Linked DNA regions of Macaca mulatta. The protein of the gene in region 6 interacts with the protein of the main gene of each other region in a pairwise test. Links are inferred from orthologs where the notes say so. Each region holds a gene or a part of one and is shown on either strand. Other genes may lie near its edges. The genes, in order: ARPC5, PRDX1, SH2B1, HSP90AA1, MAPT, EGFR and CAMLG.

What was found.
Region 1: the proteins of EGFR (region 6) and ARPC5 interact in a protein complementation assay, tested with the Homo sapiens proteins (2 studies listed by IntAct). The link is inferred for Macaca mulatta from reciprocal best matches to the Homo sapiens genes EGFR and ARPC5.
Region 2: the proteins of EGFR (region 6) and PRDX1 interact in a protein complementation assay, tested with the Homo sapiens proteins (2 studies listed by BioGRID and IntAct). The link is inferred for Macaca mulatta from reciprocal best matches to the Homo sapiens genes EGFR and PRDX1.
Region 3: the proteins of EGFR (region 6) and SH2B1 interact in binary tests that used the Homo sapiens proteins (3 or more experiments, as listed by UniProt). The link is inferred for Macaca mulatta from reciprocal best matches to the Homo sapiens genes EGFR and SH2B1.
Region 4: the proteins of EGFR (region 6) and HSP90AA1 interact in binary tests that used the Homo sapiens proteins (3 or more experiments, as listed by UniProt). The link is inferred for Macaca mulatta from reciprocal best matches to the Homo sapiens genes EGFR and HSP90AA1.
Region 5: the proteins of EGFR (region 6) and MAPT interact in a protein complementation assay, tested with the Homo sapiens proteins (3 studies listed by BioGRID and IntAct, with this or other methods). The link is inferred for Macaca mulatta from reciprocal best matches to the Homo sapiens genes EGFR and MAPT.
Region 7: the proteins of EGFR (region 6) and CAMLG interact in binary tests that used the Homo sapiens proteins (3 or more experiments, as listed by UniProt). The link is inferred for Macaca mulatta from reciprocal best matches to the Homo sapiens genes EGFR and CAMLG.

The regions. Positions count from the first base shown.
Region 1 is NC_133406.1:41,108,321-41,112,333, forward strand, and holds the start of ARPC5 (actin-related protein 2/3 complex subunit 5), read right to left. Parts: upstream 2,801-4,013; 5' UTR 2,657-2,800; coding exon 2,513-2,656; exon of another isoform or gene 1,570-2,512; intron 31-1,569; coding exon 1-30. UniProt on the Homo sapiens protein: Component of the Arp2/3 complex, a multiprotein complex that mediates actin polymerization upon stimulation by nucleation-promoting factor (NPF).
Region 2 is NC_133406.1:195,090,957-195,095,089, reverse strand, and holds the start of PRDX1 (peroxiredoxin-1), read right to left. Parts: upstream 2,801-4,133; 5' UTR 2,734-2,800; intron 1-2,733. UniProt on the Homo sapiens protein: Thiol-specific peroxidase that catalyzes the reduction of hydrogen peroxide and organic hydroperoxides to water and alcohols, respectively.
Region 3 is NC_133425.1:28,067,778-28,071,277, forward strand, and holds part of SH2B1 (SH2B adapter protein 1), read right to left. Parts: intron 1,514-3,500; coding exon 1,289-1,513; intron 1,083-1,288; coding exon 871-1,082; intron 739-870; coding exon 567-738; coding exon of another isoform or gene 514-566; intron 108-513; coding exon of another isoform or gene 8-107; intron 1-7. UniProt on the Homo sapiens protein: Adapter protein for several members of the tyrosine kinase receptor family.
Region 4 is NC_133412.1:175,437,709-175,441,830, reverse strand, and holds the start of HSP90AA1 (heat shock protein HSP 90-alpha), read left to right. Parts: upstream 1-1,322; 5' UTR 1,323-1,381; intron 1,382-1,979; coding exon 1,980-2,141; intron 2,142-2,230; coding exon 2,231-2,597; intron 2,598-2,917; coding exon 2,918-3,051; intron 3,052-3,345; coding exon 3,346-3,666; intron 3,667-3,781; coding exon 3,782-3,947; intron 3,948-4,122. UniProt on the Homo sapiens protein: Molecular chaperone that promotes the maturation, structural maintenance and proper regulation of specific target proteins involved for instance in cell cycle control and signal transduction.
Region 5 is NC_133421.1:70,796,048-70,800,156, reverse strand, and holds the start of MAPT (microtubule-associated protein tau), read right to left. Parts: upstream 2,801-4,109; 5' UTR 2,668-2,800; intron 1,949-2,667; exon of another isoform or gene 1,811-1,948; intron 1-1,810. UniProt on the Homo sapiens protein: Promotes microtubule assembly and stability, and might be involved in the establishment and maintenance of neuronal polarity.
Region 6 is NC_133408.1:73,468,115-73,472,126, forward strand, and holds the start of EGFR (epidermal growth factor receptor), read right to left. Parts: upstream 2,801-4,012; 5' UTR 2,540-2,800; coding exon 2,452-2,539; intron 2,313-2,451; exon of another isoform or gene 2,257-2,312; intron 1,901-2,256; exon of another isoform or gene 1,761-1,900; intron 1-1,760. UniProt on the Homo sapiens protein: Receptor tyrosine kinase binding ligands of the EGF family and activating several signaling cascades to convert extracellular cues into appropriate cellular responses.
Region 7 is NC_133411.1:143,664,713-143,668,875, reverse strand, and holds the end of CAMLG (guided entry of tail-anchored proteins factor CAMLG), read right to left. Parts: intron 1,067-4,163; coding exon 875-1,066; 3' UTR 501-874; downstream 1-500. UniProt on the Homo sapiens protein: Required for the post-translational delivery of tail-anchored (TA) proteins to the endoplasmic reticulum.

The DNA.
Region 1 (4,013 bases), on a different chromosome or scaffold from region 6:
AGCTGCCTGTAGGGCAGCTGTCATGTTTCCTGTGATGGAAGTTAAGGGTGTAGCAGCAAAGCATGGCCCCCAGGAAAGTATTATAACCACTGGTTCTGAAGACTTGCTTTATATATAAAAAGAAAATTACTGGTCACCATGTTCAATACTGGAAATTCAATGTGTTGGTTTCCAGGATGTTAATCAAGGGCAAGATATCAAAAGCAAAACAGAACATTAGACTTTCTTTTTAATAAAGCAAAGACTGTTTCACCCTTGGTTCTAACTATCAAATGAACACCTTGATAGTCTTTCATTGCCCAGTGAGATACATATGCAAACATTACCTAGAGTGGTGTTAAAGAAATCCTAGGCCGGGCGCGGTGGCTCAAGCCTGTAATCCCAGCACTTTGGGAGGCCGAGACCGGCGGATCACGAGGTCAGGAGATCGAGACCATCCTGGCGAACACGGTGAAACCCCGTCTCTACTAAAAAATACAAAAAACTAGCCGGGCGAAGTGGCGGGCGCCTGTAATCCCAGCTACTCGGGAGGCTGAGGCAGGAGAATGGCTAAACCCGGGAGGCGGAGCTTGCAGTAAGCTGAGATCCGGCCACTGCACTCCAGCCTGGGTGACAGAGCGAGACTCCCGTCTCAAAAAAAAAAAAAAAAAAAAAAAAAGAAATCCTAAAATATGTATCAGAATTATTAGTCCCCCAAATGAAATAACCTATTATCAACCAAAATATGTCTTTTCCTGTGATTCTAATTGAAAAAATAAAGACCAAACTTTTACTATATTCTATATTAACTGAAATGCTGGTAGAACATGCTGGCAGATTAGCAATCTCAATGATACACATTAGCAGTCTCTCAATATTGATGAAAAGAGGCATCACAGAAGATGTAATAATTCATATGTCCCTTAGGTGGCAGCTTAATTTTTTGCTTTAGATATTTTCTCTCATATTTCACAACGGTTATTCAAACTGTGTTAGACCATACCTATTAAATTCAGACTCTCTTTGAAAGCACTAGTGAGTTAGCAAGCATGAGAAACAGAAGGCCAATCAGACTGTCAGAATGTACCAGACATTCCCCTAAAAGGAAAACCACAGAGTTCACTTGTTCCTCCATCTCTAGTACCCCACCACTAGGGCTGTCTTTCCTGGCTGTATGTAAGGGTAAGAAAAGACAGTATCTTTTTATTTTAAGATGTACTGATCAAAAAGCGGATCCACTGATATGGACACAGCAGTCACCATAAATTACCTAAAATACATTGGGGTTTCATAAAACACCATCTATCCATCACAAATGTTTTTAGGAAGCATGTTCACCATTTATCTTCCGAAGAAAAAGTTCTCACACACACAAAATCTCTGGTTGACAAGCTGTTATTTTCAAGGCTGCAAGGATTTCTAGAGAAGCATGCCTCATGTGATTAGCTCATTTTGTATGACCCCAAGCACTTATTTAAATAATGCAAAAGAGCAACAGCTAATTAATTGTGAAAGTTGTGGCAATCAAAGGACTAGCTATATATTGATAAATGTCTAATGCTGTATTTAGGTGCCTTTAAAAAAGGATACTGTTGCCATTAAATATTTTCACTCACATTTTCCTCATATAACAGGACATTGAGTCTTCCTTATGAATACACCCAATAATTAGAAATGCATAAAAAGCCAGTGTTTGAGATTTTCTAAAACTATAGCTTCGGTTTTTTGCAACATTTACATTTTTCTAAAAAAGATGTAATGCAAATACGGAGTCAAAGTTATGAATATTCAAATATGCAAAAACAGAAACCGGGAACTGACAGCCATATTTTAACTAAAATGGAATCAATTTTAGGAATACAAAAAATTGTATTCATTCCCCTCCCCCGGTTAACAAATTCTGTGCAATGTATATTTTGTCAAATCCCCCCCTCCCTTTTTTTTCTTTTTTTAAAGGCCAATGGGCTGAAAGCATAGGGGACCTCAATTTTCAAACCGTACCATCTACCTTCTGCCCCCGGTAAGGAATAAACTATCTTAATGCTAGCAATAACAAAAACACAACAAAAAACAAAATCACTAAGGAAAGACGCAGGTTCCCCACAATCAGAAATTTCTGGAGCTAATGTGACTCCGGGAAATAGAGTTCTAGGAAGAAAAACTTAGGCGCTCGGCACCAGCCTTCCCCACCAGCCCGGGCCGCCTTCCCCAACGCCGCGAAGGCGCGGCCGGCGGGACCGGTTCCCGAGGCAGGCAGGCACTCGGGTGCAACCTGAGGAATCTGGGGGCGTGGAAGGCGCGCGGGGGAGGGCAGGCTTCCAAGAGTGGGACCCTCGCGTCTCCTGGCTCCTGAGTAGGAAACGGGGGCTTCCTCCTGCCCTCTCAGAGCGGGAGACCCCAAAGAGACAGGTTTAGCCGCAGGTAGACAGGGCAGCTCCGCGCCGGGGCCCCGCGGAACCTTCAGGCTCCCGGGTCTCTGGACAAGGGCGGGCTGGGCTGGGCTAGGGTGGGGAGGGCGGCGAATGCAAGGATATTGCCGTAGGCAGGAGTCCACCTCGCCCTCATCGGGCCCGGCCTGGCCGTCGCCCCCATCTTCTTCGTCCACGAACTTGTTCTCGTCATATTCATCCACGTCCACCTTCCGGAACCGGGCTGACGACACTGTGTTCTTCGACATCCCAATCCCTACCAGCGGCAAAGGCCTCTTCTTGGAGCTGCCTCTACCTCAGCAAGCCGAGCCCAGCAGCCCACTGCCCGGCGCCTGATTCACTTCCCTCTTCCGCTCTGGGGCGTCGCCGGCTGCCGTGGCTGGGACGGTTCTGGGCCTGCGCGCCAACCCTGCTGCTTCCTCCTCAGGTTCACGCTCTCCTGGCGCCTCCCACGCCGCCCCCACTCTTTCACGGAGAGCGCGCGCGGGGGAGGGAGGGCGCAGGACACAGCGCGCAGGCGCGGGCTCTCCGTAGGCAAGGGGCGGGGCTGGGCGAAGGAGGAGGGGGCGAGAGGGAGGGCCGAAACCTGGATCGCGGGCGGAGGTAAGAAACGATTGGTCGTCCGAGTGCGTCACGTGATTCCCAGGGGGTTCCCATAGAAACGCTTTTCTGCGGTCCAGTCTAGGGGGTCTGAGGTTGTCGGTGATGGGCAGCAGCGGCAGGTGGCATTGACTTTTGCTGCAGCCGTCAACGACCTGTCATCCGGGTCCTGCGTAAGGTCCGACTGGCTGGGACTTGGATGTGGGTGGGATGGACTTGGCTGCCGGACCGAGTGCCCTGCAGTTGGCAGGAGTATGAGGCGGAGTGATGCACACCCGGGCGCCCAGCATCGTTCTAATTGCCGGAGACGTTACCTCGGACTGTGCGCTGCTAGGGGCTGCGTTCCTGAGCGGGAAGCCCGTTTCCTGGGGTTGGAACTACCCTACTTGGCCAGCGGGAGGTCCCCAAGGACGGAGTCGAAAGGTCAAATCTTATCTGTCAGTGCTGTGTGACAGCATCACGACGGGATCTGCAGAACCTGAACTCGGTATCAAATCTACTGGGAGGGAGGGGAATGTGTCCGGGCAGGCGCTGGGGTCGGTTGGCAAAACTGGGGTGAATTTGTAGAATTTGGGAAAGGGTCATTGACATCTTAAAATAGGTGGTTGTTTGGAGCAAGAATGCTGAAAAGGGGTGAGGGTAGGTTAGGCTCTCTAGTGCTGGGGGAAAACAAAATGGGTAAGGATTGGTGGAAACCAGACCTTTAAGATTTATATTATGATTTAAGATTTATATGATTCCATCTAGGCCAGATTTTAAAAAAAATATTTGACATCCCCATTTCCGGAATGTAGGAGATAAAGGCACTAAGACGAAGGAAATGGTAGTTGTGCTGTGTGTATTACACTGAAGAACAAATATTTGCAGGATAAAATTAATTTGGACATTTGGCTGGACATTGCTCAGGTATGGGTCTAGTTTAGTTGGACCTCGAACAGAAGACTGGCTGTTGTCCTGTTGTGTGCCACAATCTTTGGTTTCCAGTGCTGTGTTGAAAAGAGCACT
Region 2 (4,133 bases), on a different chromosome or scaffold from region 6:
TTCATTTAAAAACGACAAGGCAATTTCTTTATATACTAAGAAAACCTCTCACTCTTTCTGAACCATAATTAGTGCAGTGGCATCTTATTCATTAGACAGAAGCAGAGAGGGAGGCAGGTGAAGACTCTCAAACCAGAATCCGAATGCACAATGCCACAAACACTTTTGTTTGGCTCATAGTCATGTTGACCTTTCCCATTACTGTGCCTCCACCTGCCTTAATAACGTCAGAAGCATATTTGACTTTTCTCCAGGTAGCTTTGTCAAAGACAGCACACGGTCGACCTATAACTAACACAACTTGTTTTATTTTATTTTTTTTGGACGGAGTTTCGCTCTTGGGGCCCAGGCTGGAGTGCAATGGCGCTATCTCGGCTCACCGCAACCTCCACCTCTAGGGTTCAAGTGATTCTCCTGCCTCAGCCTCCGGAGTATCTGGGATTACAGGCGCTAGCCACTACACCCGGCTAATTTTTTTGTAGTTTTATTAGAGAAAGGGTTTCTCCATGTTGGTCAGGCTGGTCTCGAACTCCTCACCTCAGGTGATCGCCCAACTCAGCCTCCCAAAATGCTGGGATTACAGGTGTGAGCCACCGCACCCTTCCAGCCAGTCCAACTTTTAAGAGGCAAGACCACTGGGCGCGGTGGCTCACACCTGTAATCCCAGCACTTCCGAAGGCCGAGGCAGGCGGATCACAAGGTCAGGAGTTCAAGACCAGTCTGGCCAACATGGTGAAACCCTGTCTCTACTAAAAATACAAAAATTAGCCGAGAGTGGTGGTGCATGCCTGTAATCGCAACTACTCAGGAGGCTGCTGAAGCAGGTGAATCGCTTGAACCCGGGAGGCAGAGGTTGCAGTAAGGCAAGATCACACCACTGCACTGCAGCCTGGGCGACAGAGTGAGACTTTTCACTCTGGGCCATACAGTGAAGAAAAAAAAAAGCCGGTGGGGGGGGGGGGCGCGGGAAGACCAAGATATTGGCGTCTGCTTAATTTCAAATCTTTAGGTATTGTGTAAGCCCTAGAAGTCCCTTCACAAATGGGTTCCTGACTTCTGGGCTAATATCCCAGGGCGAAAAGAAGTAGAACAAGAATCAATTTACTTCTGAAAAGGAAGGTTGCGCAGGATTCACCCAGATCAACACCAAGATAAGCATCGAGATCTTGGCCTGTAATGCCAGCACTTTGGTAGCTGAGACAGGCAGATCACCTCAAGTCAGGAGTTCGAGAATAGCCCGGCCAACATAGTTAAACCCCGTCTCTAACAAAAATACAAAAAGTTAGCCGGGTGTGGTGGCACGCGCCCGTAGTCCCAGCTACTCCGGAGGCTGAGGCAGGAGAATCACTTGAAACCGGGAGATGGAGGCTGCAGTGAGCCGAGATCCCGCCACTGCACTCCAGCCTAGGAGACAGAGCAAGACTCCGTCTCAAAAAAAAAAAAAAAAAAAGTTCGCGACAGGCCTGGCCAACATGGTGAAACCCCGTCTCTACTACAACTACAAAAAAAAAAAAAAAATTAGCCGGGCGTGGTGACCGGCGTCTGCAGTTCCAGCTACTCAGGAGCTGATGCAGGAGAATGGCTGAACCCGCGAGGCGGAGCTTGCAGTGAGCCGAGATCGCACCACTGCACTCCAGCCTGGGCGACAAAGCGAGACTCCATCTCAAAAAAAAAGAAAAGAAAAACAGCAAAAATTTGCCGGGGCTTGGTGGCACACGCCTGTAATTCCAGCTACTCGCGAGACTGAGGGAGGAGAATTGCTTGAGTTCGGCAGACAGAGGTTGTCCCAGTAAGCCGAGACCGCACCACTGCTACTCCAGCCTGGCCGACAGAGCGAGACTCTCTCAAAAAAAAAAACAGAGTTTTAACCCACTGAGCCGCAGTCTAAAAGTTTTTCCAAGTCCTAAAGTTCTTTAAAAACTGTTTTTTAAAAAGTCCTTAACACCTTTAACGACAAAAAACAAAAACCAGAAACTAATGCATGCTGCAACTTGGTGTCCCCAAATGGCCTTCTCGTCCCATCCTACTTTCCCAGGTGGCTCCCAAGTACCAAACCCAACCAATTCGGGGTAAAGGCTGCTTCAGGCCGGCGCCGGGCCCCTTCAGGGGATCTGCCCAGTGCCGAGGGCCACACCCCTGAACCCCACTTCAGGTACCCCTGTCCCTCCCCAGCACTGTGTAAAGTACCAGCAGAAAGAGTGCTTCAGCGGGGACATTTGGGCTCATCACTAACTCCATTCCACGTACAGGAAAATAAAGACGGGGAAAGGGTACCCGAAGCTCCGCAGCTAGTCAAGGCTCAGGACCCGGAACAGCATTTACCCTATCACAAGATGGACAAAAATACAGGCTGTCTTCTACAGCCACGAGTCCGGATACAGGTCCATTCCAGAAGCTTCCCGAACCCACCCCGCCCGACAGGAGGCTAGTCTTGGAGACCCCACCACCAGCCCGCCCAGACGCCGCGCCACGTGCTCAAGTTGCCGGGGAACGACTCGACTCGAGTCCACGCTAGCCTTGGGGTCCCACGTCCCCGCACCTACGTGGGGGGCCCATGAGAGGGGTGCGCGTAGCGCTCAGGCAGTCTCGGGCTCCGGGTCTCCCCCGGCCGCCTCACGCATCACAGTACCCCCACCCAAGGGCGGGCGAGCCCCGGACAGGAGAAGGAAGAGGCAACAGACAAGAAAGGCGCGCCGCGCCTCACTCCGCAGAGGCCGCGCTGCCCACACTCACCAGTCCTAACACAACTCACAGATCAACACCACGGAAGAACAAAACAGGCAAGAACAAAACGCGCAAAATCCGCCCGGGGCGCTGCCTTTATAGCCAGTAGGGCTCTCGCGAGAGTCGGAGCGGACCAGGGGTTCTGGAAGAGAAGAAAGAGGAGGGGGATGTGGCCCGAGCCCCGCCCGGCGCGCCCCACCGGAATGACTCGGCGCTTTTCCTCGTGGGGGCGGGCGCGGAAATACTAATACCTCTCCCTGCTGCGGATGGCTGAGGCTGGAGTGAGGCGCTCTTGTGGCCGCTCCCAAACCCAAACGCTTAGGTTAATCCAAGGTCTCTGCGAAAAACCAGGATTCCCTTTACTTCCAGGACCACTACGCACTGTGCCCTTAATGCCCAAACCGGAGTAAGCGTCCTAGCTGCTGCCCACGGATGACCACGTCTAACCACACCAAGCCATGAGAACTGTCTGTCCGAATATTTCTTAAGTTAAGCAGCCTTAACCCCAGCGCAGATCCTCAGTAACCCTCATGGGTTAGATAGCTTCCTTCATTGTTCTCTTTGATTACAGGGTTGCTGCTTTCTGTTGTAAAGCAAAATAAAATATCAGGACTCCTAAACTTATGCCAAAGGGAAAGTTCAGTTTAGGACGCTGATTCAGCTACACGACCATCCTTTCCCCGGATGAATAACTTGACTTTACAATCTTGAGTCAAAATATTACACATTAGCCAGACCTACACAGTAAGGCAAAAGGCCTCAGACACTTCCTGATGACTACCCCCCACAAACACACATACACAAAATCACAATTATTTGCTACCCTGGAAACCTTTAAAGTATGTAGCCTCCCATAAAACAAGGACGTGTCAATTGTAACTAGATCTGCAATCTAAAGTCTAGTTCCTAAAACGAAAGTTTGTTGTATTCCACATTTTTTTTGAGACGAGTCTCACTCACCCTGTCGCCCAGGCTGTAGTGCAGTGGCACGGTGTAGGCTTACTGCAACCTCCACCTCCCGGGCTCAAGCGATTCTCCCGCCTAGCCTCCGGAGTATCTGGGACTACAGGCACGCACCACCATGCCCAGCTAATTTTTTATATTTTTAGTAGAGACGGGGTTTCATCCTGTTGGCTAGGCTGGCCTCCAACGCCTGACCTCAGGTGATTCACCCACCTTGTCCTCCCAAAGTGCTACGAATATAGGCGCGAGCCACCTCACCTGGCCTCTATTCCACAAATTCCATAAATGTTGACTACTATATTACCTTTCTACTAGACTACTTTCTACCTTTCTAGTAGTACCTTACTACTAGATTACCCTGAGTCCATCACACAATTGTTTTCTTCCGCTATTCCCATTTTCCTCAAACATTCACCTTATCTTGTGTAAAAATGTAGATTTAGGCC
Region 3 (3,500 bases), on a different chromosome or scaffold from region 6:
CACTTACACACAGTCACTCGCTCCGAAGGGCATGAGGGTGCAGGAGGCATCGGGGTGGCATCCATCTCCCTCGCACACCCCCGCATGGCTCCCAGCCTGCTCCCGGCCTGGGGGGAGGGGCAACGTGGGGACAGATGGGACGGTGGGGCAGGGGAAAGGGAGAGATCAGACAGGGACATGAGACATTGAGGGAGGAGGGAGGGGGATCAGACCGAGCGACCCCGGGAAGGGCAGGCCCAAGGCCAGGCTGCGATGGTGGGCAAAGACGAGGCCAGGATGGGTCCAGGAGACAGACAGACAATGGAACAGAGGATCCGATGGAATGGGGATGCGCCCGCCCACCTCTCAGCTGCCGCCCCGGCTCCAGCCAGGAGCCTTCTGCCTTCCTGTGTCCTATCAGCGCATTTCTTTCCCTTCCAAACCCCCAGGCACAGCAGCCTCCTCTACCCTGCTCTCCCAAGCAAAGCTTCTCCTTGTCATAGCCCCCCCGCCCCATCTTTCTGGCACACACACCTCACTTCTTGGGTGCACGGGCACCTCCTCCCCTGCAGACCTGCTCTGCTCACCCTGCTGTCGCTGGGAGGATGGGACATAGCTGACAAGGACAACATCACTGGAGCCTCCTGACTCCAGAGGGATGGGGTGCACCCGGAAGTGCTCGAGCATATCGAAAATGGACTGGAACCACAGGTGCTGGACCCGGCACTGACCCTCCTCGTTCAGCGACAAACGCAGGTGCTGAGGGCGGGACGGGTGAGGTGAGGTAGGAGGCAAAGACCCTGCCAGGTACAAACCCCCTCCCCCGGCAGCACTCCGCCACCCCACCGCCAACTCTGCACAAAACAGAGCCTTTCCTGAAGGGTGGCTCACCTTGGCCTTGCCCTGGAAGTTGAAGGTGAGGACGTATTCACCCCGCCTTGTCTCACTCTGGCGCACCAGGAAGACACCGTGGGAGCCAGTGCCGCCAGTCAGCACCAACTGCGCAGCCTTGAGCCGAGAGAGCATCCCGTGGAACCAAGGATACCCTGAGAGGGGCTGGTCCCCCTCACTGCCCTCTGGCTCCCCCTGGAACAGGAAGGACCCTTCAGGAAGGAGAGAGGGAGGGAAACCGGGGTGTCAGGGCAGCCTCCCCCATCCTGGGAGAAAAAAGCTTTGCCTTCCCCTCGAGGCGCCTGCTCCCCGCATGCGTCCCCAACTCCCCCGGGCCAGCTCCCTCGGGATCCCAGGAGGGGTGGTCAGGAAGGCAGGCACCCAAGCCTGGAGACATGCACACTCACACCTCCGGTACCTGTGGCTGTTTCCGGAGTGTCCAAGGGAGGGTAGGGGGCTGAGAGGGGATGAACTGTCCCTGCTGGGGGTCCCTCTTCAATGGGGATGCGGGGGGGCAACTCTGGGGGAAGCAGTTCCATCGAGTCAAAATGGGAAGCGGCAATGGAGGCAGAGCTGGGGGAGATGGATGCCGAGGGGCGGTCTGAGAGGCCCCCGTACGCCCCTGGAAAGAAAAAGGGCAAAGCTGAGAACCCAAGAAACTCCTCTTCTTAAGGACTGTCCTGGGCCCATTTCCTCACCAGTAGTCTACCCTATGTGTAGTCGCTGGCCAAGATGCCAGACAGCTCTGTGGGTAGTGACCCCTGATGCTTTTACCAATGGCTCCCAACTGATGCTTCCTGTGCTGCTGAGGGACTGCAGAGTTATTGCAAGGAGGTCCTAAAGTCCAAATGTGTCTCTATCTTTTTCTGAATCAACAGCTGAAATACTGCAGAAACAGAGGGTAGAACGTCTTAAATATATACATATGTGTTTTTGTAGAGAAGGGGTCTCGCTATATAATAGCCCAGGTCGGCCCTGAGTTCCTGGACTCAAGTGATCTGCCCACCTCAGCTCTGGGATCACAGGCATGAGCCACCGTGCCCAGCTGCCTGAAATATTTTGACATTCAAAAGGAGTCCTGGGCCGGGCGCGGTGGCTTACACCTGTAATCCCAGCACTTTGGGAGGTTGAGGTGGGAGGATCACTTGAGGTTAGGAGTTTGAGAGCAGCCTAGACAACATGGTGAAACACCGTCTCTACTAAAAATACAAAAATTAGCTGGACGTGGTGTGCACACCTGTAATCCCGGCTACTTGGGAGGCTGAGGCAGGAGAATTGCTTGAACCCAGGAGGTGGAGGTTGCAGTGAGCTGAGATTGTTTCACTGCACTGCAGCCTGGGTGACAGAGCAAGTCTCTGTCTCAACACACACACACACACACACACAAACACACACAGCCGGGGTGACAGAGCAAGTCTCTGTCTCAAAACACACACATACACACACACACACACACACAGCCGGGGTGACAGAGCAAGTCTCTGTCTCAAAACACACACACACACACACACACAGAATTCTGGCTGGACACAGTGGCTCACGCCTGTAATCCCAGCCCTTTGGGAGGCCAAGGTGTAAGAATGACTTGAGCCCAGGAGTTCAAGACCAGTTTGGGCAACATGGTGAGACCCCATCTCTTACAAAAAAAAAAAAAAAATTAGCTAGGTGTGGTGGTGGCACACGCCTATGGTACCAGCAACTTGAGCGGCTTGAGCCAGGGAGGTCAAGGCTGCAGGAAGTTGTGATTGCACCACTGCACTCCAGCCTGGGAGACAGAGCGAGACCTTATCTCAAAAACAAAAACAGTAATTTTTAAAAATAAAAAAATTTCAAAAACACACAAGCAAACAAAAAAAAAGTGTCCTTTGTTGAACTATAGGACAAAGCCCCCTAACTCTAGGAGGCATCAAAGATGCTCCTTCTATTACTCCCCCAACCCACACCAACTTGGTCTTTACCTCACCTTGTATTCATGTCTCTTCCGCTTTAACCCAATTATCCCATCCAATTTGTCCCCATATCCTGGGCCCTCCCCACAGGTCTCTGCTCTTGCCCTTTGCATCCCCAGGCGTGTCCTCTCCTCTCCTTGGCGTCACAGTCCCTGTCTCTCCCACCTTCCCCTGCTCTCTTCCTCCCCTGAGCTCCCAACGTGCTTCCTGCTTGTGCTGCTCAGGGGACATTAAGCTTTCTACAGGGAGTGACGTGAACCCAGCTGAAAACCTCCAGAGGACAAGCAGCTCATCTCAGGCATCCTAGCTACCCCATCCTGGCCCGGGACACAGCGCAGGGCCAGGTATGCACTAGGGGCATCCTCCAAGTCTGTCCAATGGCAGGCCACAGCCTACACAAATGTCACAGGCAGGCAGTGCTCAGAACACAGGCGTGTGGTGCACAGACAGCATGGCTTGGGAGACAGGGTGGCACAGCCCCTGTCTTCCTCAGTGACCCTCAGGTGTCCTCTCCCTGGTCTTAGCTACTGAGATCTGATGAGATGCACGGTCCACTCTAGATCTAAGATTCCATGATTCATGTGTTCATTCACTGAATACAGCCTGTGTGCTAGGCACTATGCAGCTGGAACTCAGAACAGAGGGTCAGGAGAAAAGGCTATAGTGGAGGCCTAATCTGGA
Region 4 (4,122 bases), on a different chromosome or scaffold from region 6:
AGCTTCCAGATTATTCCGAGGACCTGGCTATGAGTTTAGGCAGGAGGAGGCCCAATCATGGGAGGCGCCAGAGAGGAAGAGGACATGGACGAGGCATGGGAGCCAAGTCTAAGGAACCCCAACACCTCTAAGGTTCTCATAGCTGGCCTTGACCAAAATATCTGAAAATTCTCATGTAGAAACTGGTTCTTCCAGCCTGAGCAACATGGTGAAACCCCAACTATACAAATAAATACAAAAACTAGCCGGGTGTGGTGTCCGCGCTTGTGGTCCTCCGCCCGCGCTCGTCCCAGTTACTCGGAAAGCTGAAGTAGGAGGATCACCTGAGCCCGGGAGGTCGAAGCTGCGGTGAGCCAAGATTGTGCCACAGCACCCCAGCCTGGGCGACAGAGGGACAGCCTGTCCAAAAACAAAAAAACACCAAACCTGTCTTTTAGGGAAGGTTAATCACCAAAATGTCAAGTGTTAGATACTTAATTTGGAGACCTCAAATCGATCGGCAAAACGATGGGCTTTTAAAAAGCATGCCGGGTGTAGCTGGGTAAGCATGAATTTATTCACCAAGGGCCCGATTCCCAAGCTAAGGGACCCTGAAGTGTGAAGGACATGGCTTCCGGGGAACCCAAAGGTAGGGAGCGCTCCTGAGCCAGCAGTGGGTCTGGAGACTCCCCGAGCGCGCAGGCCGCGGGACGGCGTCCCCTGCGCGCAGCAGCTAGAAGCCAACAGCCCAAAGGCCCCCAGGGAGCAGAGCCCCGCGATCCCGGCGCCGCCTGCGGCTGGATTTTTTGGCAGCGGGCGCGCCGTCCGTGAGGATGACGGCTCCGGTAGTCTCCCGGGCGTGCGAGACCCGGGGCGCTCCCCGTCCACGCACGGCCCTCCCTCCAGGCGCGCCTCCCGCCCCAGCCCCGCATTCTGCGCAGCCCGGGTGACCAAACTACACCTCACTTCAAAGGCCCCCACGCCCGGGCGTGCCCTCCGCCCGCGCTCGGCAGGTGGGAGTGCAGGGAGGAGGGCGCGGGCGGCCCCAGAAGGCGCCCGGACCTTCCCGAGAATTCCAGGCCGCGCAGGCGCATTGAGGTCGGCGCGGGGGCGTGCGAGAGGCGCGGGGCGGTGATTGAGGGAAGGTTTCCCGGGCTGGGCCATGAGCAGGGCCTGCGCGCGCCAGCGGGAGGGGCGGGCCACGGCGAGGGCGCAGGCGCAGGCGCGCGGCCGCGGCGGCGGTTGGGGAGGGTTCTTCCGGAAGGTTCGGGAGGCTTCTGGAAAAAGCGCCGCGCGCTGGGCGGGCCCGTCGCTATATAAGGCAGGCGCGGGGGCGGCGCGTCAGTTGCTTCAGCGTCTTGGTGCTGCTGTGCCGTGGAACGTTTGCAGCCTTTTAGCCAAGGTGTGAGGGGCGGTTGTGGGGGCCTGTGGAGGTGGATTGGGGAGTGGGGGCGGTTGGCGCGGAGCGGAGGCTGTGGGGGCCGAACGGGAGCCCTGAACCCGCCAGGGCCGCTCTCCCGGGAGGCCGCGCTGCCTATTCCGGAGGCCGTGGGCCCGCTGCTGTCTCCGCAGCCCGCCTCAGGAATGGGCTGGGCGGCTGCTCCCCGAGTCTCCGCGGCAGCCCCGGAGCTGGCGCCGCACGCGAGCAGAGCGGCCCTTTGGCTGGGGGCCCCCCGGGCGGCCCAGCTGGGGCGCAGGCGGAGGAGGCCGCCCTGGCGGAGCCGCGGCCCGCGCGGGAGGGCACACGGGGTGTCGGTTGGGGACCGCGGCGCGGGACTGGGCCGGGCCTGCAGTGGCCTCCCGGAAGCGCGCACACGCTCGTGGTAGTTACCGCGCTCCGAAATGAGGTCATCCTTTGTCAGCCGCCCTTCTATTTTCGGTTTACTTAAACTTCGCAAATCTGCAATCCGGCTTTAAAAATATTGGGAGGACGCGATGGAATCTCGTGTTGCCCCTGTAGACGCCCTGCAGGGTTTTAAACCGGCGCGGTGTCGTTCCAGATGCCTGAGGAAACGCAGACCCAGGACCAACCGATGGAGGAGGAGGAGGTTGAGACGTTCGCCTTTCAGGCAGAAATTGCCCAGTTGATGTCATTGATTATCAATACTTTTTATTCGAACAAAGAGATCTTTCTAAGAGAGCTAATTTCAAATTCATCAGATGTAAGTCGTTTATTAACCCAGAATAGGATTTTGGTTTCAATATGAACTTCTTGGGGGCTGTATGCTTAATTAATATTTTGTGTTAATAGGCATTGGACAAAATCCGCTATGAGAGCTTGACGGATCCCAGTAAATTAGACTCTGGGAAAGAGCTGCATATTAACCTGATACCAAATAAACAAGATCGAACCCTCACTATTGTGGATACTGGAATTGGGATGACCAAGGCTGACTTGATCAATAACCTTGGTACTATCGCCAAGTCTGGGACCAAAGCGTTCATGGAAGCTTTGCAGGCTGGTGCAGATATCTCCATGATTGGCCAGTTCGGTGTTGGTTTTTATTCTGCTTATTTGGTTGCTGAGAAAGTAACTGTGATCACCAAACATAACGATGATGAGCAGTACGCCTGGGAGTCCTCAGCAGGGGGATCATTTACAGTGAGGACAGACACAGGTAGGTACCTGAACACTCACTGGTTAAGTCAGTGGCGGAATGGTGGGGTGTTGCAACCCTTGGACCCCTGGGGATGCGGCGAAGTTCACAGAAAGTGTGTTTACCCAAGGATCAGGAACAAGCTAGAGCTCTGAATTAGTGTGTAATGGCATGACTTGGTGATTACTTCTTTTGGGCAAGGCACTTAGATCTGCTGTGGGAGCCTTTGCATCTGTAGTAAGGGCAAACCTCGCTTCATAGACACGTTATAAGGGTTAAGCATGGCGTTGAGCACTAAATTGAATGTATTATTGAGTCAATTTTCCTTATTTCTCTTGCAGGTGAACCTATGGGTCGTGGAACAAAGGTTATCCTACACCTGAAAGAAGACCAAACTGAGTACTTGGAGGAACGAAGAATAAAGGAGATTGTGAAGAAACATTCTCAGTTTATTGGATATCCCATTACTCTTTTTGTAAGTTTCTACATAATTGCAGAGTGAATTACTGTCTGTAGGTGACTGGGGTGACTGTACTACATCCTTAGTTCCTAGGTCTGTTGAACTAGTTTGAAGCCTGGGGAACCTAAGCTCTACTAACTGTGAAGGTTCCTCGGGTTATTAAGTAGATATATCAAATATTGATGAGAAGCTGCCTGGCTGCTTCTCATCCTCGGTAATTTAGGCTTTGGCCTTAGGTTGAAAGTAGTGGGGCAGCGCTATGACTTAGTTCTAGAGTGCAGCAGTGATGCGATTTCATGTCTTTTGAAGGTGGAGAAGGAACGTGATAAAGAAGTCAGCGATGATGAGGCTGAAGAAAAAGAAGACAAAGAAGAAGAAAAAGAAAAAGAAGAGAAAGAGTCTGAAGACAAACCTGAAATTGAAGATGTTGGTTCTGATGAGGAAGAAGAAGAAAAGAAGGATGGTGACAAGAAGAAGAAAAAGAAGATTAAGGAGAAGTACATCGATCAAGAAGAACTCAACAAAACAAAGCCCATCTGGACCAGAAATCCCGACGATATTACTAATGAGGAGTATGGAGAATTCTACAAGAGCTTGACCAATGACTGGGAAGATCACTTGGCAGTGAAGGTGAGTGAGGGACTGATGGATGCTTCAAGCTTGTCTTTAGATTATCATCCCACCACCCCAAATATCTGCTATAATGCATTGTTCATTGATACTTAGTGTGTTTGTTCTATTACAGCATTTTTCAGTTGAAGGGCAGTTGGAATTCAGAGCCCTTCTATTTGTCCCACGACGTGCTCCTTTTGACCTGTTTGAAAACAGAAAGAAAAAGAACAACATCAAATTGTATGTACGCAGAGTTTTCATCATGGATAACTGTGAGGAGCTAATCCCTGAATATCTGAGTAAGTATAGATAGGAAAAATAATCACTGTCACTGATTAAAGAAATACTTCTGGCTGGGCATGGTGGCTCACACCTGTAATCCTAGCAGTTTGGGAACCCGGGGTGTGCGGATCACTTGAGGTCAGGAGTTCAAGACAAGCCTGGCCAACATGGTGAAACTCCATCTCTCCTGAA
Region 5 (4,109 bases), on a different chromosome or scaffold from region 6:
GCAGTGGCCCAACCAAAGCGCCAACACATTTCAAAATGGAGCGAAATCGCAGAAGCGCGGATTGTGCTTTGTTCCCAGCATTGGGCTAAATGCGCTCATCCCCACCGGGCTCCCTTTCCTCCAACGGCAGCAGGTGACATCTCTGCTCGAGATGGCAACAGGCAGCCTTGACCGTGGGCTCCCCTTTTCCAGGGCCGTCCCGAGACCCTCACTCCATCTGGAACCGGAATCCCGCGCCCAGCTCTGTCTGGGGGCGAGGGAGGAGAGAAGATGCTTGAACTGACCCCTGAGCCGCTCTGCAACCCCTTGCGGTGGCTCAGCCATGCGGGAAGCCTCGCAGCACTCAGGCTCCAGCCCTCGACGCCACCGTCGAGGAAGGTCAGCCTGGTCCCGGGCGGGCTCTAGTTCCCCAGTCAAGCCATTCCCCGGAAATTCAGATCAACCTGGGCAGCCCGCGTGAAGGATTCAGCTCCTAGATGCTCGTTCGTCTCAGAAGTGCGCCCCCCCGCACCAGTTTTCATCGATAGAATTAACCAGAAAACGGCGCGTACCAGGTTCATCACAGGAGGGCGAGGCTCGGATGCCTTGGCCAGGAGTTCTCCTTGCAGCCCCAGACTCGGTTTTGGGGGTACGGTGAACTTGGATACGGGTGAAATCCCGCATTTACGATAAATAATATTAATCAGTACAGACATAATATTAATAAAAATACACCCAAGGGCTGCCTATCTGCGGCCGCCAGAGGCCAATTAGAGTCTCAGGTGCAGGGGTTGGGGGCTTCCTCCCGTGTCCTCCAGGAGGCCAACTGGGCGCGGCCCCGCCTACCCCAGGGTCCCCAATCTCCCCAGGGAAGGGGTGGGGCCAGCCCCAAGGTCCCCTCTCCGGACGCCTGTGGTTCCCATGGCAATTCCCCCTCTGTGCCCCCTCCAGTGGGCTCAGAAAAATGGGTGTGGCCGCAGCACCAGTAACCTTATGCCCCCTCCTCACATTCTCCCGCCAGGCGAAGCAACAGGGCGTAAAGCTGGAGAGGCCCCACCGGGGCTCCCCACCCATCCCCGAATGGGTAGCCAGCGTCCCTCGTTGGGCAACCTGGTGTGGCTTGGCCCTCAGGACACTCGGGGTGTTGGGAGGGGCGTGATCCCTCTGCCGCCGCCCGCAGCGCAGCACGGAGACTCGAATCCCATCCCTTCAGAAGCTTCCTGGCGCCCGCAGACTCCGAGACGAGGCTGCGCGCGGTCACGCCCGTTCCATGCGTGCCGGGGGTCGGGGGGTTGACTCGGGTTCGTCGACCCCAGCAAGCCTCGAGATCCAACAATGGGCTCGGAAATGAGGAACGAAAAAGGAAAGAGGTGCTTGGGGGTGGGGGGAGGTTGGCTAAACACCCTCAGAATAAAAGCCAGAAACCAGGGCTGGGAGCGCAGATCACGTAACCTCTACAGACAAAGCAAAGAGCCCCCGAAGAAGGTGCTGGGTGAACGCCCCCAGCGCTCACGCCCGCAGCAGCAAAACGCCAAGATTTCAGCGCTGATTGTCCCCCTCCCTTTAATGCCAGGCCCCGCCCTGTCCTACGAAGCCCGGCCACCCGGTTTGGCATGGCACCGTAAAGACGTGACACGCCGAAAAAAGATGGCACCTCGGGAGTGGGAGGAGGCACAGCCTATCCTCCCCCCTCCTCGCCCACCAGGATCCACACCCACTGCCGCAGTGAGGGGCGAGCCCTGCGCGCCAGCCCCGCGCCTCCGGCAGGGAGCGCACACGCCGGGCACCCTGCGCGCGGAGCGCTGAGAAAGAAACCCGCCCCGAGATGCACCTGCAGCCCCGCGCCCGTCAGTGCATGGCTGCTGCTGTGCCTGCCCGCGAGCGGGGACCGGCGGCCGCCGACTCCGTCCACATCGCCAGGCCAGGTGACCCCTGCCTTTGCGAGCGTGCACACTGGGATCCTCGCACTGTTCTCAGGCACGGCGCTGCTCGCGTCTCTGTGCCAGGCGTGCGCAGGGGGAAGGGCAACTAAAGTGACAGCGCCTGGACCCCTCCCCATCTCCTCGATTCCTCCCAGCCCCCAAATGTCCCCTACGGGTTTCTGAAGGAGGAAAAGGGGAGGGGGCCGGCCCCCGCCTAAAATCAGGGGCGGTGAAGGCCCTGTCGGAATCACTGCTCGGGAGGTAAAGGGAGGGGCGTGCAGGGAGTCAGTCATCTTTTCTAGAACCCGATCCACATCTTCCTTAGGGCTGATGGCGAACAGCGGCAGGGACAGCGGATTTCAGGTTCGGTTTCGGGGGTCGTTATCGGACCCCTCCCCCCCACGCACGCCCATTGCGGCAAAAGACTGCGGTCGAGAGTGAAGGGCAGCCCCCTCCCCCAAGTCACCGCCGCCGCGCCCCACCCTGCCGGCACGGCCTCCACCTGGGGTCGGCGCGAAGCGGGTGAAGACCCTCCAGCACACACACACGCGCGCACTCAGGCGTGCGTGCATCCCTTGCTCACGTCCCTTTCCAGGCCGCCCTGGCCCCAGCCCCCGAGCAGGGGAGGCAGGGAGGGGCCCTGCGGTCGCCCCGACCGATGCCCGGCGCACGAAGCCCCAGTCTGTGGAGGCTGAGGGCTAGGGGCGGCGGCGCAGGGGTGCACAGGGGCGGACGGCGAGGCAGATTTCGGAGCCGCGGCGCTTACCTGATAGTCGACAGAGGCGAGGACGGGAGAGGACAGCGGAGGAGGAGAAGGTGGCTGTGGTGGCGGCGGCAGAAGGTGGGCGGTGGCAGCGGCGCTGCTGTTGGTGCCGGAGCTGGTGGGTGGCGGTGACTGCGAGGGCGCGCGCCGGCGAAGAGGGCGCGTTCCCGAGGCCGGCAGGCGGCGCAGGCGCGAGCAGCGGGAGCGCGAGCCTCCCCAGGGGAGGGGGCGGGCAGCCCGGCCTCCGCGGGAGCCTTCTCCTCCGGCCACCAGTGGGCGCGCGCGAGCGCCCTGCCGCTCGGCTGTCCGGCGCCTCCCGGCTGGTTCCTCTCGGCGCTGCCCTTTCCCGGTGCCCCTCCCCCTACGCCTCAGGCCGCGGCGCTGACCGCAGCGCGCACGCGCGTTCCATGGCGCACGCGCACTCTCCGCCTCCCATAGCTGGAGCCTTTGTCTCGTTGGAGGGGTGGGTGTCTTCTTCGGGCCCTGCGGGGTCGGGGCAAGGCCAGTGACTCCGCCAGTGGGTCTCCTGCCCCTTTCCTTTCAGTCAGCCTGAGGCGGTGTCCTCTCCTGGAGAGGTCCTGAGCGACCTTCCACGTGGCCAGCTCCCCAGTCCGTCCACCCCGACCCTCCGAGTCCCGAAATCGCCCCCCTGGCTAAGGTCGCTTTTCCCCAGGCTGCTTCCTTTCTCCTTGCTTTTTTCCCATCTTTTTTGTTACTGACCAAGGTGAATCCTTTCCTTAACAAATTCACTTAAAGCAAGCTAACTCTGTTACAATACAGTAGAACTGTACTTTAAAAAAAAGCATTTGGATCTATGATGTATGTAACCGTGACGCTAGAAAAGAAATCTTAAATTAGACGAAATTGAAATAGTGCTTAACACATCGCAGAACATTTGCACACACAGTTATTTGTATCACGTCTTTTGAAACATCTTTATGCTGTAAGTAGAGTTTGAAGTCTGAATGTTTAAGGGCCAGCTGGAGATTGTCCCCTGAAGAGGCATCTCAGCCTGAAACTGACCAGTGGTCCTCATTCTACTGGTCACCCAGGCACCAAGCTTCGGCCTTAGCTTGGATTTTTCATTTCCCCAACGTCAAATTTAAGCCCTGGCAGTGGGTGGATTTCTATGTATGGGGGTTTAGGGCAGCCGTCTCCTCCTAGGGAGATGGGAAGTTGTCTTGAAGCTCCAATTTGCATGGTTCTTACATTATTTTTTAAAAACCAACATATGTTATAGATTAATAGAAAAAGCAAGTAAAATGCTTTATTCACACTGAGTTTCTGGAACTGACCTTTTTCTTTCTTTTTTTTTTTATCCATATTAACTTTATTTTTAAACAGAGGGGCATATATCCAAAGAAGTAGGAGTGAGAACCACCGTGGGGGCTTGCTGAAAGCGATCTGCCCTAGCCTTCTGACTTCAGAATGTCTCATGAGCCAAT
Region 6 (4,012 bases):
TTCCCCCATAGGAGGAGAGTGTACACCTCTTATGCTTAATGTGGGGATTAGGACGCATGAAACGGTGTCTGGCAGTCATTACGTCTAAGAGCAGCAAGTCCAGAAGTTAGCATGTCCCAGAACCAAACAAAACCCTTACTAAACAAAGTGCATCTTGAATAAAATCGACTGAATTTGATAGACACAGGTCTCAAACAAATTTCTGTTAAAAGAGCTCATCTCCTACTTTAATAATTTGCCCCTGAAAATTCAGTCTTTTATGTTACTGTAACAGAATAGCGCCTGTTCACCTACTCTCTCTGTCTTCAGGAGTTTCTGTTTTGAGTGAATACGGGATAAACAGGCAAATTAAGTGGTATTTATATTTTTCTCAGGAACAAATCTCCAATCACTAACAGTGGTGTTCAAGCAAGTAACATCAAAGAATGAGAACCCCACTGGAGGGAGAAAAGTGATGCTTTGGAGGTGCTCTGAGGGTTTAATTTAAAATAAAGAGAAGAGTCTCTTCAGCAGAGACAGGGCTGACACCTGACTAACAGGACCCGCAGTCAGCCCCCAAGCAGGCAGGAGGGGCCCTGCAAGCTCAGCAGAGAAGAAACCTTTCCACCAGTTCCTTCAATGAAAAGAGGAATCTTTTATTATTGGAACCACACCCCACCTTTTCCCTCTTTCCTATATTTGGCAACATTGTTAAAATTCCAGATGTCCTCAAAGAGCTCTTTGCATTGGCAAGTAATCTCTCCGGAGACTTTAACAATCCTTCTTCCGTCCGGTGATCCCCAAACCTGGCTCCCCAACAGATCACATGAAAAGCATTAAAAAAAAAATCCCATGTCCAGGTCTTGCCCCATGCCAATTAAATCAGAATGTCTGGGGGCGGGATTCAGACACTGGTTTTTGTTTTGATTTTTTTTTTTTTTAATCCCAGGTAATTCTAACGTGCAGCAAGGTCTGGGAACCACTGTTCTATGTCTTGCCCCTCCCCCAACGACCGCGCTGGGCACCAAACCCCAACTCCCCATGCCAGTGACATCAACAGCAAGTACGGGCCTGGCTCTTGGAACCCGCGCAGCTCAAGGTTGGAATTGTGCAATTAAACCTTCCGAGGCATGTTTCCCGTGTCAAGTGGGTTTATGGTCAGTAGTCACGAAGCCAGACTCGCTCATGTTCTGTCTGGACACTTGGCACACTTGAACCAGGGACATCAATCCGGTGTGTGTGTGTGTGTGTGTGTGTGTGTGTGTGTGTGTGTGTAAGACAGGTTTAATATTTTGGTTGGCTCAATGTCAAATTCTTCAGACAGCAAAAAGAAACATCCAAGAAAGAAACTCTCCGGGTTTTGAGGAGAAAACTTTGCTGTGAGCCCCATTTTGAAACACCGTGGTGCTGGCCAGGATGAGCTCTGCTTCCTGGGCTTCCGCACTAGAGGCCGCGATCCCCCCAGCAGTGGCCGGACAGCCGCGTCCCCCTCCACCGCGAAGCCCAGGCGCGACCGAAGGGCTGCAGGTGGGGCAGACCCGGACGTCCCCGCGAGGCGGCCACCGAACGAGAGCCCGGGCCTTTCTGCGCCGGCGCCCGGGAGGGAGCTCGGGTCCCCAGGAGGTGGGGGGCATACCTGGACCGGCAAGACGAGGGCGCGCCGGGTGAGGCGAGCGGCCGGGGTCTGCGCCCAAGGGGCGGGTCGGACCCCACCTGCCTTTTGCCAACGAGGAAGTTAACCGCCGCCAGCACCACCCCTTCCCAGGCGCCGCAGGTGGTGGCGGACTTCTCCCAGCTCCCAGGTTGAGGCTGCGACTCCACACCTGGGAACGAGGATCGCGGGGACCTGGAGAGGGGCCGGGGTCAGGCTGGCCGGCTCCGGCTTCAGTTTGAGACCTGCGCGGAGCGCGGAGGCAGGGAGGTTCGCTCAGGAAGCCGCCTGTCCCGCGGGGTCCGAAGGGAGGCTTTATTTTCGGGGTCCTTCCTCAGCTTCCCTAAACAGCGCAGCCTCGGCGGGTGGGCAGCGCCAGTCCCTCGGGTGCGCGCCGCGACCCCGCCGCGCCCTGGGAAGACAGCGCGGGGCGCACGTGCGGGACCCCGGCCCCAGGCACCCACCCGCACGGGGCTTTCGCCCACTGACGCCGATTCCGCGCAGCGGGGCGGGGAAAGTGAGGGTGGAAAGTTGGGAGCGGTTCGGGGCGCCGGAGGTCCAGGCGGCCGTTTCCCCGCCGGCCCGCAGCCCAGTGCCCCACGCGTCTCCTCCCCCGCCCGCCCCAGACTCTCCTGGCCCAAGAACGAAACGTCCCGTTCCTCCCGCGGTCCCGGCCGGCGGCGCAGCTGATCTCAAGGAAACAGGAAAGGACGGGCGGGGGCGCGGGCGCCGAGCCGGTGCGCCGGTGCGCGGCTGGGCTGGCTGCGGGGTCCGGGGCGCGATCCGGGGGCAGCGCGGGAGCCGGCGAGACACGCCCTTACCTTTCTTTTCCTCCAGAGCCCGACTCGCGGGGCAGAGCGCAGCCAGCAGCGCCAGGAGCGCGGCCCCGGCCGTCCCGGAGGGTCGCATAGCTGCTCCCCGAAGAGCAAGCTCCGGCTCTCCGGATCAATAGTGGACGGAGTCAGGCGGCCGTGCGCGGTGGTTGTGGCGTTAGCGGCGAGGCGGGGACTCGGGCGGACGCCGACGAGGTGGCCTGTCGTCCGGTCTGGGCGGCGGCGGCCGCCGGGGCTAGCTCGGGACTCCGGCCGCTTTGGCCGCGGCGGGCGCGCACACCGTGCCGGGGGCGGAGGCTGCTGCGGCCGCGCTGCGCCGGGGGCTGCCCGGACGTCTAGCTCGCGCGGGCCGGGGCGCGGGGAGGCAGGGCGGGAGGAGGAGGGACCAGGCGGCGGAGGAGGGATCGGGAGGAGCAGAGGAGGAGGAGAATGAGAGGAGGAGGGAGGAGAACCAGCCGCGGGGACCCAAGGCCAGCGGCCGCCGGAGGCGGTGGACAGCGGTGACCCCCGCGGGACCCGGTCTCCCGCGGGAAGGGGGTGGCGCGCGGGAGGGGAGCGGGTGCCCTGAGGAGTTAATTTCCGTGAGGGGCGTTCACAGCACTGCCCCTCTGGACTGGGTCCCCGCAGACTTGCAGGCCCAGCCTATGTCGAGGTCGAGCCAAATCTGTGCCAGGGTCCCCTTCCCCCTTTCCCTTCTTTTGTTTTACAGAACAAACTTCTACCAGCTTTAGACAGACTGGCCGAGCCCTAGAGCCAGCGTCGAATAATGGCACCGACGGGGAAACTGCTCCTTTATTCTGGTCCCCACCTCCCCTGCAGCACCCAGGGACCCTCGCGGGGATCAGAGGCTGGCCTGGCAGCTGAGGAGGTCGCTGTGCCCGCGCGGCAGGGGTGCCAGGCGTCCGAGGTGGTGCTCTAAAGTCCGAGGGTCCTTCAGATCCCGTGAAGCACCCTAGAAATCGTCTGAAATGAGAGCACCCAACTTTGGGCGCAGAGACAGGCCTCCTCAATGTTTACTGCAACCGGCCGTGGGTACTTTGAAGCCAATGTGTGAAGCACGTTACTTCGCAAAAGTGAGGCTCTTGGAATAAAGGCTTGACACAAACAGCTGTGGAGATGCTTTTAGAGAGGCTAAGTGTCCCACTGCACCGGTAGCTCCCGCAGGAGAAATGCCAGGGAAGTTCGCGAAAGTTTGGCCGAAAGAAACTGAGCTGCTTTAGGCTGCAGGAACTTGAGCTACATTCCTTTGGCAAGTCCACCCCATCCCCACTGTTGCTTCTCCTGCAGTAAGAATGTCCTCTAGGTCCATGTTACAGTCAGACCCCTCCTCTCTTCACGAGATTCACTAGGACCTTCAGGCCTGGTTCAACAACCCTGATCTCCCGGCTCTGTCAAAAATCATAATCCTGAAGTAAGTAGAGCTACAGATCTGCCCTTTGCTGTCTCTGAAGGGGAGCAACCTTGCATCTTTCCTCCGCATCCAGCGAAGTGTTTGTGCCTGGGTTTCACGCCCTGCAGCCTGAACGGTGGGTTTTTCACCACGGCAAGC
Region 7 (4,163 bases), on a different chromosome or scaffold from region 6:
CTGTAATCCCAGCTACTCAGGAGGCTGAGACAGGAGAATCCCTTGAACCAGGGAGGCAGAGGTTGCGTTGAGCCAAGATAGCACCATTGCACTCTAGCCTGGGCAACAAGAGCAAAACTCCATCTCAAAAAAATAAAAACGATGTTTATAGTAACTCATCTAGACCATATTTGGGGGGAAAAGGACATCTATGCTATTGGGTTGCTTGCTTCAATTCTTCACATCCCATTTTGTTTTTGCTTGCTTAAAACATACTTCTAAAAAGTGAAAACTCAAAAGCAAAAAGTTCCAATTCTGAGTTTAGTATACAGCAATAAAAATTTTGTAAATACCTTCCAATTTCACATGTATGAATCATTTCTTTGATTAAATACTTGTGCTGGAGTAAAAATTAAGATACTAACTCAACAAGAAAAGTTACAATGTGCAGACTTAACATTAGACAATTCAGTTTCTTTCATTTTATTTTTCAGATGACTTCATTTCTCAGGACAGAATGACACAAATACAAGAAGCAGTCTCTAGGGCTGGCTGAGACTACGTTTATCTGTTCTCCTAAAAGCACTAGTTCAGCTCCCAAAAGAAGAATTACAAATCTGAGAAGTTAGAGGAAAGGTACAGAATAAGGATTCTGATTAAACAAGAAAAATCAATTAATGACATTGGTACTCTGTTCTTCATATCAGTAATAATACAAACTCAGCCCTTTTAAATCAGAGAATCTGCCATTCTATTTCTAATAAAGTAGTTTTGCAACCCCTAAAGTAAAAGAATTACATGAAGGTGTAAACTAATTTGCCTCCTTTAGAGACACTGCAATATAAAAGAGGATTTTTTTTTTTTTGTAAGCTTCTCCTTCTCAGTTCTGCAGGCTTCATGGTACTTCAGAGCCCCAATAATCAAGCAGTTCATGACAAAAGATAAAGGTGAAAAAGTAGACACAGAGATCTGTGAAGACTTCGCCCATTTTGCTATAGGTATCCATTGATCGATTTATCACTTCAGCAGGAATTCCCGATAATAAAAGTGCAGCTGTTAGTACTGTTGTCTTTATCTTCTTTTCACTCTGTGTAGAGAAAGACTCACATTAATCTTCAAAGTTTCAGCAGACTACATAAGCTCTATACAAACATAATCAATACTGCTATTTTCAACCTAAATGATTTAAAAACTGTTAATGATATTTTAAAACAATCAGTAATATACCAACATTTACTGAGCACATAATATGTAAATCTTCAAACTGCTAGACAATAGCAGATTATCAGTCTTGCTTTTTTTTTTTTTTTGAGACAGTCTCGCTCTGTCGCCCAGGCTGGAGTGCAATGGCTCGATCTCGGCTCACTGCAACCTCCGCCTCCCGGGTTCAAGTGATTCTCCTGCCTCTGCTTCCTGAGTAACTGGGATTACAGGCGCTTGCCACCACGCCTGGCTAATTTTCATATTTTTAGTAGAGACACCTCAGCCTCCCGAGTAGGTGGGACCACAGGCGCACGCTCAGCTAATTTTTGTTATCTGTTGTAGAAACAGTCTTCCTATGTTTCCCAGGGTGGTCTTAAACTTGTAAGCTGAAGCCATCAGCTAGCCTCAGCCTCCCAAAGTGCTGGGATTAGAGACTGCACTTGGCCTGAAGGCCTGTTTTTAATTCTACTTCCCCTGAAGTCCTCCTTGTGCTTTATTTACATAAAACACTGGAGTAATTTATATCTCCTGTGAGCTCCTACGTCACACATTATCCATGTCAGTCATTTAGCAGTTATTTATGTCCTGTCTAGTAATATTTCTTTTTATATTGTACTGTTTTAATATATAAAATTTATATTTTATATTATTTTATATTGTACTGTATATTTTATATTTATATTGTATAATATATTCTTGTTTTTATATTGTACTGTATATATAATAAATTATTATTTATGTCATGCTTCCAAGATGACATTTTCAAAAAACTTTTAATAGCAAGACTGGGCTGGGCGCAGTGGCTCACGCTTGTAATCCTGACACTTTGAGAGGCCAAGGCGGGCAGCTCACGAGGTCAGGAGATTGAGACCAGCCTGACCAACATGGTGAAACCCTGTCTCTACTAAAATACAAAAAATAGCCGGGCACGGTGGTGGGTGCCTGTAGTCCCAGCTACTCAGGAGCCTGAGGCAGGAGAATTGCCTGAATCCACAACGTGGAGGTTGCAGTGAGCCGAGATCGCGCCACTGAACTCCAGTCTGGGCGACAGAGCGAGACTCCCTCTTAAAAAAAAAAAAAGCAGAATTTTTCTTTATTATCACAAAATCCAATCATATGGTTTAAAAATTTTTTTAGTATAAAAACCTATAGTTACCTAAGAGAAATGAAAGCTTATGCTCACAAAAAGCCTCATACAAGGAAGCTCTTAGTCATAATAACCCAAAACTGAAAACAACCAAGATGTCCATCTACAGGAGACTAGATAAATGGATACAGTCATACAATGGAGTATTATTGAGCCAAGAAAAAAAAAAGAAATTAACTACTGATTTATCCAACATGGATAAATCTCAAAAATATCATGCAGAATAAAAGAAGGCATGCAGAAAAAAGTAAAATCAAGAATGATCCCACTTATATGAATTACTATGCCAAACACAACTAATCTATGGTGGGAAAAAGATCTTTGGGGTATAGGGACTGGGACTGCCTGGAAAGGAGCATGAAGGAAACTCTTGGGGTGACAGCAAAGTTATAAACCTTGGAAGAGGTATGGGTTTCACAGGATGTCAAACATATCAAATGGTACAATTAAGAAGAGCATTTCAAACAATCAATTAATTATGCTGGTACCCTAGTCTTCATATTAGAACTAATTTTTTTTTTCCTTTTTTTTTGAGACGTAGTCTCGCTCTGTTGCTCAGGCTGGAGTGCAATGGCAGGATCTCGGCCCACCGCCACCTCCACCTTCTGGGTTCAAGCGATTCTCCCACATCAGCCTCCCCAGTAGCTGGGATTATAGGTACCCACCATCATGCCTGGCAAATTTTTGTAGAGATGGGGTTTCACCATGTTGGCCAGGCTGGTCTTGAACTCCTGACTTCAGGTGATCCGCCCATCTCGGCCTCCCAAAGTGCTGGGATTACAGGCATGAACCACTGCGCCCGGCCTCAGAACTAATTTTACCTTAAAATTTTACCTAAAAAAGGCCGGGCGCGGCGGCTCACACCTGTAATCGCAGCACTTTGGAAGGCGGAGGTGGGCGAATCACAAGGTCAAGAGATAGAGACCAGAGACCAGCTGGGCACAGTGGCTCATGCCTGTAATTACAGCACTTTGGGAGGCTGAGGTGGGCAGATCACAAGGTCAGGAGATCAAGATTGTCTTGGCCAACATGGTGAAACCCCGTCTCTACTAAAATACAAAAAATTAGCTGGGTGTGGTGGCATATGCCTGTAATCTCAGCTACTTGGGAGGCTGAGGCAGGGGAATCGCTTGAACCTAGGACGCAGAGGTTGCAGTGAGCAAGATCATGCTATTGCACTCCAGTCTGGCCAAAGAGCAAGACTCCATCTCAAAAAAAAAAAAAAAAAAAAAAAAAGAGAGAGACCATCCTGCTCAACATGGTGAAACCCTGTCTCTACTAAAAATACAAAAATTAGCTGGGCTTGGTGGCACGTGCCTGTAGTCCCAGCTATTTGGGAGGCTGAGGTGGGAGAATCGCTTGAACCTGGGAGGCAGAGGTTGCAGTGAGCCAAGATTGTGCCCACTGCACTCCAGCCTGGTAACAAAGTGAGACTACATCTAAAAAAAATTTTTTTTTTTACTTAAAAAAAGAACCTTAAAACAGTAAATTGTAAGTTAATGTTATGTAAGAGGGGTGAGGTATACCGATGTGTACACCTACAATATACTTTGAAATGCATCAAGAAAAATTTGATGGAAAAACTTTACAGAGATTATCTTGGGTTTGAAAACTAAAAATCTGATAGATACGTAATATAATAAGATGCTACTTGTAGAATCTAGGTGGTATTATATAAATGGGTGTTCACGGCACAATTCTTTCAACTTTTGTGTTTATTTATTTTTGAGACAGTCTTGCTCTGTCGCCCAGGAGTGCAGTGGCGCTATCTTGGCTCACTGTAAATTCTGCCACCCGGGTTCCAGCAATTCTCCTGCCTCAGACTTCAAGTAGC